Linked DNA regions of Caenorhabditis elegans. The protein of the gene in region 2 purifies or fractionates together with the protein of the main gene of each other region. This does not show direct contact. Each region holds a gene or a part of one and is shown on either strand. Other genes may lie near its edges. The genes, in order: ilcr-2 and actl-1.

Region 1 (5,951 bases), on a different chromosome or scaffold from region 2:
ATTGTATTAAAATGTATTTTTTATTAATCGATGAAACCCACTTGAGCCGATTTTTTGCTACTTTGATACAACAGCCAGTAATTGTACACGGAATACCATCAACATGGTTTTGTTCGAAGTGACGGCGAATGAATGCTGGTTTCTGAAATTCCAATATCAGAAGATGAACAACTCGATAATTCACACCTCATTAGTGTACGAGCACTGTGGACACTTATGAGAAGCCTTCGAATGATGTAGTTTGTGATGTGCTCTCAATTCACCATATGTGCCAAATTTGGTAATTGTCGAGCATTCAAGGCATTGGTAACGATTAGCTGAAAAAATAATTATCTAAATTACTAAATAAGAATGCTGAAACATACAATCATGAATTTTTATATGTTCTCTCAGCTTGTTGGGATATCGAAACTTTTTCTCACAGAACGGACATCTGTAAAAATGTTCGCATTTCATTTATATAAAAATATTCCACATACGGATGGAACTCGTCTTTCGTTTTTCCTCTTTTTCGTTTTCTGCTCGCAATTTCTTCTTTTTCAACTTCTTCAACTTCTTCAATGCATACTTTCGAATTGCTTCTCTCACTGTTGCCATCTTCTTCTCGGTATTCATCATCAGAGTCTTCATCAGAAGACGATGACGATGAAGATGGTGGTTCAAACGAAGATATCATCTGAATTTTGGATTTTGGATAACAGTAAAAATAATTTTTCATAGATAGACTAGGTTATAAGACCTGTTTTAATTAGAGAAAAATAAAGAAAACAATTAAGGAAATGTTAAACATTTATAGATAGCGTAATTTTTAAATCCTAGAACAAATTATCAAATATATAAAAATCAAATAATGAGTGAAAAATGACATGGAAATTATAAATTCTGAACTATGAGAAGCCAGCGTGCCTCCGCTATGTTGGAGTTCTGGAAAACGTAGCTTCAGAACAATAAGACATCTCATTGAGGGACACGCTGACTAAATAAACATGAAAAAGCATCGCACAGAAAAATCGAAATAATATACCATAATTAACCACGTATCACACCGTAACAAGCAATAAGCAAATAAAAATAACAAGTCTCTTCATGACTTCTTCACAACAATCGTCTTCGGATCTTCACCCTCATTGTCGGATTCAGATTCGGATTCCGAACTGGAGTCAGATTCCGAGTCAGAATCAGAGTCAGGGCCGCACTGTTCAGGTGGTAGGAGAATGAGTGGCTGGTTCTGATGAGAAGCCTAAAAATTATATTTCTAGCTGAGAACATTTTGAATGAACATACGTGTGGCTGGAGATCAACATCATCTTCGTCATCACTGTCCACGAGTGCTTGCGGGGGCACCAGGTTATACTTTATAGAAGCAGCAATGCGATCCTCTTCAGTTTGGATTGGAACAATGACGGGAGACTGACGTTTGAGGTGAAGCGCTGCGAGCTCCTGAAAATGAAGTTTTATAAATTAATCATAAAATTAAAACCCTCACGTCTTTCGGTTTCCATCTCGTTTCGAGCCAATTCGGATTTCGAACGAAGAATGACATCATACGACTAGCACAAAGGTTCCACTCATGAATCTGAGCTTCTGATATGTTTTGAGTGACGTTGGCTCTTTCTGTGTGCTCTACATTGTGCAGGAATGCAGTGAGTTGCGCGAATTGTTCAGGTACTGTAATTTCAGAATTAGAAAGATTACATTTTAAATTTTAAAATAAACTAACAAATGAAGGTGGGAAGGTTAAGAATCGCTAAGTTTGGTGGAACATGTGGAGAATAGTTGAATCTGACAACGGCGTATTTCTTACGAGCTTCCGGAAAATTGTGTGTTGCGTCCTAAAATGTTTTTTCTTGATTTTAAGAAAATCCGAGTCAATTGCCTACACGAATGATCATTTCCATAGCTGGCCCGAACAAATCAGCAAATGGTCGAGCTTGAACAAGCTGATGAGTCTCAGAAGCTTCCGTGTCGAGAATCTTTTCAGCGCAATCAGAAACCACAATTATAAATTTCTTTAGAGAGCTGATTTGATCCACTAGCCAGCGGGATGGAACGATTTCTGAAATTAGTATGAAAAGTTGAAAAATACTATATATTTTTTAAAAACTTACGTTCTGCGGTTATAAGCTTCTCCAAATCAAAAACTGGATCACAGGATGCACAGTTTCTGAGATTTTCGACAAGTTTCTTCACACAGTCGGTATGCAAATCATTGTCATCCGCATAAACTATCATAACCTTCACAAATTCAGTCAATGCTATATTTCGAACTTCTCGAGATCGAACTTTGTCTCTCCATAGTACATAACCAAATCCAGTTACAGCCAGAACGATGATCAGTATCAAAAGTACAACGACAGCGATGAAAATCTCGAAACCATAATCTTTGAACTTTTGCAATGCGAGCCAAGACAGTGAAGCTCTATTTTTGTAGATAACCAGGTTCAGATGAGTACGAAGACATTGCCGACATCCTCGTTCTTTCTTCTCGCAATAAAATTTGCATCCACGAATAGGAACGTATGCCGTCAGAAGGTATCTCCCTGCTTTCTGATTTTCCCATTTAACGGCGGTTTCTGGGCACTTCACAGTCAAAATTTCCAGAAATGTCACTTTTTGAGAATCATCATCGTGTTCCTTGTAGACATTAACAACCATAGTTTCGCATTCTGCCCTCTCCGCTTTTCCCAATCTAACCCAAATCGCATTCTTATCACTGAAATCAGCAGACAGCATCGGTGCCCAGAACGGATCCGTTTTCGTTATAATTGACTGATTGGTAGTTGGATCCACAAGAATCTCTGGGAACATGTCATCGAAGTATGGAGCAGTCATAATCGTTGAGACTCTACATTTTTGCGGTAGAATAGTTGCATTGATTGCGTAGACAGAAAATGAAGTGAGTCGGAAACAGGAATACGAGAATCTGGTGGGATATTGAACTCTCGACGAAAGATGAATTCCGCGACACGGCCATTCTTTGACTCCGTTGATGTACTGAAAATTTGAATTTTTACTGTATTACCCAGACGCGAAGTTTAGCGTAAATAATACGTTACAGGGTCTTGACACGACAAATTTTCGTTGAATGCGAAAAGGTTTGCGTCATTAAAGAGTGATGTAAGTTTAAAGATTTTTCTTTTTTATAGAGAAACGTTTTTTAAAACTACAGTACTCTTTAAAGGCGCACACCTTTTCGTAATCAACAAACATTTATCGTGTCGAGACCTGGTACCGTATCCCCGGCGTATTAACGTTCAAAATTTCGCGTCTTTTAGTTGTTAAATCTAGTTACCATGGCTTTCGAATTGGAACAATATACATCTGAACCATCTGAAGCTGACAAGCATTCAAGACGGAATGCAATGGTATCGACGGAAGAATGAGCAGTGACGGAAATATTCAGGTTGGCATATGGATAACTGAAAAAATTAACTAATTAAATTAAAAAATTTCCACAGTTTCTGACTGATTTCCAACCTTATCTGGGACTTTGGTACGTAGACTGGTTTGAGTTCCAGATCAATAAGACCAGGAGGACATGTTGGCAGCTTTTCAGGAAGATCTGAAAATCGGAAAATTAATTATCTTTCTGGTTCGGGAAAAAATGTACCATTTTTCTTGAGCCGTTCTGAGCATTCCTTAGTCGTGGAGTACGTGATAAAAGGATCGGATTTCTTATCATCAGCTCTCACATAGACGAATGAATCTTTGTAGCATTGATCGGAATGCTCAAAAACATTCCGAAGGACGTAATCAGAAGCATTGGTGTATGATGCTGCTGCGGACGATTTGACAGAAGATAGTGAACAGAGATAGAAGTATAGGAGTAATAAGGGACTGCCCGTTGCGCGATAAGCAAGAAAATTGGTAGTGCAAAGGCGGACCATTTTATGTCATTAATTAAAGTGCGGTTTTGAAGAAAGAAAATGAAAACAAGCAACTTAACAACAAAAAAGATAGAAGAAAATATAAATTCTAAGAGATTCTAGAAAGAGAAAAGTGAGATTACTGTGGGTGAGATGTCGCAGCGGCACCAGTTGACGCCTGAAAATTGATGTAAAAAGATTTAGCTCGTTATTTGCGGTAAAAGAATATCTGATTGTAAACATGTGAAGAATTTGAACCTAATTTGTTGACTTTTCACCTCTTGAGGCGAGGCGACAAGGTGAAAACGATATGTTTGTACACGGGAAAACTTTTAGAAAATCTCTATTTTTTTTAATGTTGCTGCGGTAAAAATCAGAGATTATCGAAGAAAAATTAGTTTTAATTACCTGCTCTTGTGCGACTTTCTCAGCTTCCGCGGCTTCTGCAGCTACCTTCAGTTGTTGATCGGCAATCAACGCCCTGTTGTCCTTGGCTCGAATGAACGATTTCGGGTGAATTGGGAAGAGTCCCGACAGGCCTGAAATGAATAAAAAATTAATTTGATCATCAAAACTACGAAAACAGTTGATATTTTCAGTAGATCAAAAATTAATTCAAGAATTTTTCCCGCAATTTTTTTCCAAGTGTATTTTCCAAAAAATAATTATCACAGTTTCTCCGCTCACCGAGAAGTTCAAGCACTGGAACGGAAATATGAGCGTTCCGTTCACCAATCCAATATTTGAGGCGTCCAAAATTCAGAGCCACTAGCTTCTCGTTCTTCTGATTTGGAAGTGGATCAAAAGTTCCCACCTGTAAAAATTAATTTTATTATAAATCATTCAAGCAATTTTTTCATTCAAGCAATTCTCACCTGTTCAAGAATGTTACCCTCGTATCTTCGACCTAAAGCCCGATCAGGAAATACACAAACGTGATAGAACGGTCGGTTTGTGCAACCAAAAAGAGCCAAACCGATCGAAGGACGTCCGTAATATTTTGGAATTACTAATTTTCGCATTTCCAGCACCAAATTTCGCTCATAGAAGGAGCAATCTGCAAAAAACAGAATTGAGCTCGTACGAGAGGCAGAATGTACTACGATCGTTATGAACGGCTGCAAATTAAGAATAAAATTTTTTTTCGAATAGAATTATTTCAAAACTCAAAAAACTATTTACACAATGTTTATAAAAAGTTTAGAAATTGTGGAGAGAAAAACTTTTTTAAATGTCGTGAAGTGCAGTGTCAAGTACGCAATGTTGTCCGTCGGTGTTTGCGGACACAAGAGTAATTTCGCGCGAAATTTAATTTTGATTTCTTCTGGTGTATTTTTTGTACAATCCTTCATTTCCTCGTTTGATTTGCGTACGAAACAAGAAAAGTTGAAAATAATTGACAAATATTGCACTTAAAATTTATAGAAAAATGTAATATTTTTTTGTTTTTTGGTACATTAAAAGAGATAGTTATGATAAACAAAACTGATTTAATTTCCAAAATTAAGGAAATTTTATTTCAAATTTTTCCGACTGCGCCAACAAGAATTCGTAAAAATCTGCATGTCAAGTTTCTTGAAATCTAAACTGATCTTAATATTATTTAGGAAAATATAAAACATCATCAAAATTCATAATAAATTCATTTAGATATCATATATATTTACACATAATAATTCAAAAAGGCAACAATATGGCTTTCGAGCAAATATCTGAAAAAAAAATCATCTGAAGTCATTGAGAAGGATCCGAAAGTTGCATACTCGTTTCTGTGTGTCGGTGGTGTTGGTTGAGGCGGGGAGTGTAGAATAGACTATTGACTAGTATTAGAGATTGGGTAATAAATAGAATTCATGAGGAAACAAACGAAAAAAAACATAACTGAGTAAAACTTTGTAATGAGAGGGAAATATGGAAGAGAGCACAACATTGACCCGTTTTTTGTATGCTTGTTGAATTTTTTGTGCCCAGAAAACAGCTAAAACGGGGAAGGCAACAACTATATTATGTGACTAGAGAGATAAATGGAAAAATATAACAACAGCTACCTATATGTCTTAGAGATATAGTCAGCTAGGGCTCTGT
Region 2 (5,738 bases):
ATCAAGATTAAAAAAATAACAAAGATCTTTCCATTACTCACTCTCACAAGCAATAAAAAGTAAGGAAAAAACAGGGATGCAAAGAAAAAATTGTTATCGTTGGATGTAAAGTGACTATGACTATCATATCAAATCTTTTTCCAGAAGCTGTTGTACATCTAATGCCGTCTGATAAGCTTTGCCTATTATTTTGGTTAATATTTTTTGAGATGATCTCCTCCTTCTTCATCATGCCAGTCGATTGCTAATCCACTGTTTGAAAAAGGAGAAAATAAAAATTGTCAACTAGGAAACCTTTCTCTCGAAACCTCATTGGCACGTATTTCGGGGAAAATAATTGTAAAAGCGTCCAATGAACTCACAAAAATTAAAATGTTAAGATGGAATATTGCCAATGGGAAAAGTGAAACAATTAATTTCGTGAAACAATTTTGCATCAAACTTATTTCTCAAAATTCAAAATTTTCAACAACTTGTAATTGAAATTTTGATTATGAACCGATGTTCCCGGTTAGCGAAAAAAGGGTGAAAAGTATTGAAAGCATAGGATTTCCATCTGAGCGACTGAGTTTGCCAAGGGGTTTATGAAAACATCCCCATAGTTGTTACTCTCAATTATTACCACTCAGATTTTGTCTCAATCTCTTCTTCAAATTTGTTCTGAATATTAGTTTCCGCTAATTTAATTAAAAGCGCGGCAGATGTGTCAGCTTCAATTGAGAAACTGAAACCTATAAAAAGATGTGAGAAGAGTGGGGAAAAGTTGTCTAGGATAAAAGTGCTTCACAATTATGAATTCATAGTGTTCAAAGATAGAACCTTCTGTAAGATTTATTTCATTAGTGTATAATAAAATCTGGAAATTGAAAGTCGGAAACAACATCTTAATAGATTAACTGAGAAAATTGAAAGAAAAATACTGTTTTTGTAATATGAAAAAATGTGGATAGTAAAGACTGTCTGAGAAATCTAAAAAAACACGTGACTGTCATCAAAAAAGTGTACAATGAAAAAAAAGTTCATCAGATGCTACAATGTATAGATTATTGGCTCAAAATACCACATGGTGTTTATTGTGTAATACTGTAGTTCATGGAATCCTCGTGATGATCATTTGCATTATTGTGTGATTGTTTCTTCACTTTTCCATCTCTCAGAAGACGCTTCACAAATGGTTCAAAACTTCCGGGGAATGGATATTGATTCGTTACAGCTGCCCAGTACGTGTCCGTTACTTTTTCCACTTCCTATAATACACATTTCACACAGTGTAAACATTTTTGGAAGCCAGAGAGTTAGATGTCCAGCCATGTATTTTCAGAAAGATACTGCAATCTTTAATTAAAAACGAAGTTTTTAAATGTGATGTTAAGACAAATTAATCAAAAAATTTTGTAGAAGGTGGAGCAGCTATATTTGAGTCTTTATTTTATCAGACCAAAAATGATCACAAAATTCCGACGTTCGTAATGAGAAAACTCTAAAACTTCTCATAAAAAATAACGGTAGTTCAGTTTTGGAAAAAAAACCCTATTTTCAGCTGAAATCTCAAATTTCGCCAACGTAATGAATTAGGCTCACATGAAATTTTACTTTTGCAAGTTGTGGTTTTGTCGAGTATACAGAATTGCGATTTTAGATGAAAATACAATATTTTTTCAATAGTTTGAACCGCCATAACCTGTTTTTGAGAAAACTTCAGAACCTCATCACAAAATTGGGTACATTTGGTCTTAACTTTAATGAGCAATGTCCCCAATTTTGCTACTCCATCTTTGAAAATGAAAATAATTGCCTCAACATCGAGATATAATTTTGAATCAAAGATTTTCACTGCATCAGTTTTAAAAAAATTAACCTTTAACCTAACATTTAACCTAAAACCTTCTGGATACCAGAAATTACTCCTCTTTCAAAATACCAAACTCACCGACATAAGTACACATCTGCCTCGTAAATTGCGATTGCCATTCATGTGGAATTCTACATTCAACTTATCACTGATTGATTTTCGGAACTGAGGCATTTTGCTTTTGCTGTTCGGTTTTGTGGCTTCTATGTAAGATTTATTGAAGCACACAACAATATGCGGAAACTGGAAAATGCAAAAAATTTTGTAATCAGTAATTTACAATCACAAACAACTTAGAAAAAGTTGAATAATAATAAAAAAAAACATTGCCCACGATTTCTGGAAAAATGAAAACTAAATCCGTAAAAAAAAAACACCAGAACAGTATTAGACTTACAGGGCTTTAAAGTCTATAATGTTCAAATCTTTCAAAAAACCAAAAAGTTGTTTCCGAAATGTTACACAATGAAATACATTTGAAAAATTGAAACTATTATCAAAAAATATGAATCGCACAGGCCACGTGGCTTTTGTTTTTTATTTCATCTTTATTTACGCTCCTCCCACAATTTTATTTTCGGAGAGAATTTAAAAATTGAACTAAAAGTCAAACATGGGAGGAGCCTAAATAAAAAAGAAATATAATAAAAAAACAAAAGCCACGTGGCCTGTGCAATTGTTATTTTTTGATAATAATTTGATAACATGCCCCCGAAATGACTAGACTTATTGCCAACTCACTAGATCATAATGCTTTTCCAGCTCCTGAAACACGTTTCCCCGATCATCCTTCTCCCACACCTTCACATCAAAAACTTCCAAGTCTTTTCCCTCCTTGCGTTCTTTTTCTAAAACATTTTTCAAATTGCATTTAAACCATTTGAAATCTTCCTTTTCTTTGGACGTAGTTTCATAGTGCAACAATAATATTTCTGAAACAATAAATGTATTAGGTTCCAATTACTAAAACTTCAATTAAAACTTGCTTTTCCTAGCATTCATCGAATGTACAGGCTCCGCATATTCTGAAAATGTAGTTGTACTTGCCATGGAGTCCGTGTCAGCAAATGCAAACATTGGTTCGGGAACTGTAATTACAATGTGCATGTATGAATTAGTTTTAATAATATCAGTCAAATTTAAAAAATTGTTACATGAAAATGATAACTCACCATTTTTCAGATAACTGTTGGAATCTATATACGATTTAAGCTTCACTAAAATATCGACTCGTTGAGCATATGCTAGAGCATTTACAAGTATTTGAGCGTGCATATCTTCAAATGGCTTCCACGATAGCTTGCTATTTCGTTCCCTTCCTCCTATCTCCTGAAAACAAACTTTATAAACGTTGAAACTATTTTTGAAAGTTACCGAGTATTCAATGCCGCGCAAGAAACTTGAAACAATCTGCCATGATCCGGCCGAAACCGTTGTTGGGACATCTAGATTTGCTAAAATCAAATCTCGTATTTCTTTCTTGAAGTTTTTGATTCTGTAATCGATTTTTTTACTTGACGTTTTTTATAGAATAGAATGACATACCGAATGTTTGCAGGTAGGGTAATTCGAACATCAGATACTAAAATTGGATCATCTATGTGAACGTCTTCTAGAATATCTTCAACGCATTTGTCGGATAACTGAAATTTTCAAGATGTATATTTTGTTAACATTTTATTTGGAAATTTGAACAGGAGTATAAGAAACATTTTTTAATACTGTCACTTCGATCAAATGTTTTGAAAAATTGCTTAAAACTGACTCAAATATCAATGTGCCGACAAAAACAGTAATTCGGAACATTACAACTTTAAGTCGCATTTCGAGCAACTTGATAGTACACTTCAAATATATTCAATCAGTTTCTTTTTTACACAAAAATCTTTTGAACTACCAACTTACCACATCAACCTCCTCCCAATCATCGCCATCAAGATCCAACTCAATTGTTACGTCCATTTTCATCTTAGTCATTTTTCGCTTATTACTGTATGTATAATTATTTATAAATATAGTAGACAATTTGGCATTAACCATTGGATGTTCAAACTAGTTTTTACTTAAAATGGATATTTCATTTATTATTTTTTATCACTCTAGAAATTTAGAGAAATTCTTACTGAAGGGTAACAAAACAAGTAGGCGTAAGTGAAAATTGGTAGACACAAAGTAAGGACACTTCAGTAAATGGGGGTGGGGAAATGGATTGACACGTATAAATTAAATAGTTTGACGAGTTTTTGACCAGATTGTGGAAAAAATTATACGGTTAATGAAGGAAACTAAGAAAGGTGAGTAGATGTTGAGATGCTAAAACGATCAAATGCAAAAACATAGTTTCAAGGAGAAGAAAAAGTACATTTTAATGTTGGTATTTTCGGCCCGCGAAGTTCAAAATTTTTTAATCAAAAATAAAATAGTTGTTTGAACGATTATTCGGTGATTTCATTTTCAGTTGACACACTGACTGGCTCCTCGATGCTTTTGCCATCAACAACTTTTTTAACCATTATTCTCATCGACTGCATGCAGGTATCCTGAATTTTTTTTTTATTTTCGATTTCGCACAAGATAAATAAAAGCTTACCTCAAAGGTGGGTTCAATAGTCGTTGAGTGTACTCCCAAGTCGTGGAAATAATTTTTAATTTTATAAGCAGCTTCAGGAAAAACTGCTGGGTGACATATGTTCACGTGGGCGGCAGCAATGATTCGTTGCCCACACAACGTCCACACAGACAGCTTTTCCACTTTGGATACACCAACAATGCTGCACAAATCTTTTTTCACCTTTTCGAGGTCGAGCCCTTCTGGGGTTTGCTTGAGCAGCTTTTCTCCCGATGTTTTGACAAGAACCACTGCAGTGAAACCCATGATGGAGGCCAGGGAAATACTGAAAATTAACGGTCCTTTTTAAAATATTATACAATACAATTTTATACAAAAATACAATTTTAAAATACTGAATGGTGGAGTACAGCCAGAGAAGACTAAATTTAAAAAAAAAACTATTATGTGGTTTCATAATTACTAATAATAACATAAATCTTTTCTAAAAACATTGAATGTTTTTCTTTTAAATGTTTTTCTTGCGAGTCAAAAAGTTAGGAAAACTGATCTTGAGCCACTTTCCGAGAAATCCAAATCAAAGTTCGAGCCCCTGTAATGCTGGAAAATGGATAACAACCGAATCGTGGTATAAAAACTGAAAAAAATTGTTTTTGATCCTCGACTTTAGAAAAAATTGACAAAAAGAGTTTTCACTGTTTTCCGACTCGCAGTTTTCCAAAATAAAAGTTGACATTTTTTAAATGATTTTTGGTGGTTTCAGCACTATATGATTATAAGTGATTTTAAGATTGGTTTGTTTTGAAGCTTTTCGGCCAAATTTTATAAATATTACCTTAAAATTGGATCCAAATAAGCGGCAATTTTCCATGTTGGCAAAAAGTATACAAATCCGGCAGAAATCATGACGATCACAGATCCGAAGGCATCCGACAATAAATGAAGCCAAACTCCGTGAATGTTCACATTTTTGTCTTCTACAAACATTTCGCTACACTATTTTGATTTAAAACATTTTCGAATGAAAACTAGAGTTTTCTCAAAAAAAAAACTCACTTTTCTGTTCTGTCTTTTGAGCACTTTTATCGAGATTGTTAGAAGACACATTGAGAACTTCACTGGCCATGTGTGTTCCATATGGTGTCATTTGACGATCGACCGTCGCGATGATGGTATTCTGACTATTAACTCCAGAAAGACGACGTTCAATAATGTCATTGGAGTTGTCATCATTATCCAGTAGTCGCACATTGGCGTCGGAGTTTGCCATCGCAGAAGCACTTCGAAATTTTCCATTCAATCTAGTGTGATCCGGCT

The links.
Region 1: the proteins of actl-1 (region 2) and ilcr-2 purify together in Caenorhabditis elegans (affinity purification with western blotting, with the first as the bait; one study listed by BioGRID). This does not show direct contact.

The regions. Positions count from the first base shown.
Region 1 is NC_003280.10:5,473,345-5,479,295, reverse strand, and holds ilcr-2 (Interleukin cytokine receptor-related protein 2), read right to left. Parts: upstream 4,051-5,951; 5' UTR 4,045-4,050; coding exon of another isoform or gene 4,006-4,044; 5' UTR 3,888-4,005; coding exon 3,611-3,887; intron 3,563-3,610; coding exon 3,478-3,562; intron 3,420-3,477; coding exon 3,293-3,419; intron 2,995-3,292; coding exon 2,109-2,994; intron 2,057-2,108; coding exon 1,881-2,056; intron 1,833-1,880; coding exon 1,721-1,832; intron 1,669-1,720; coding exon 1,487-1,668; intron 1,441-1,486; coding exon 1,285-1,440; intron 1,241-1,284; coding exon 1,085-1,240; 3' UTR 770-1,084; downstream 1-769. Other genes in the region: Putative zinc finger protein F56D1.1, read right to left, coding at 42-142, 187-317, 366-433, 480-676; mrps-16 (Small ribosomal subunit protein bS16m), read right to left, coding at 4,006-4,044, 4,275-4,405, 4,554-4,680, 4,742-4,888; clr-1 (Receptor-type tyrosine-protein phosphatase), read right to left, coding at 5,911-5,951.
Region 2 is NC_003284.9:6,496,008-6,501,745, forward strand, and holds actl-1 (ACT1-like protein), read right to left. Parts: upstream 3,830-5,738; coding exon 3,758-3,829; intron 3,496-3,757; coding exon 3,398-3,495; intron 3,348-3,397; coding exon 3,227-3,347; intron 3,182-3,226; coding exon 3,025-3,181; intron 2,941-3,024; coding exon 2,839-2,940; intron 2,785-2,838; coding exon 2,594-2,784; intron 2,096-2,593; coding exon 1,931-2,095; intron 1,248-1,930; coding exon 1,071-1,247; 3' UTR 796-1,070; downstream 1-795. Other genes in the region: cdf-1 (Cation diffusion facilitator family protein 1), read right to left, coding at 4,288-4,392, 4,443-4,746, 5,257-5,398, 5,478-5,738. UniProt on the Caenorhabditis elegans protein: May act as an adapter to facilitate downstream signaling for the receptor complex composed of ilcr-1 and ilcr-2, which is a signaling complex that modulates neuronal activity and animal behavior in response to sensory neuron input.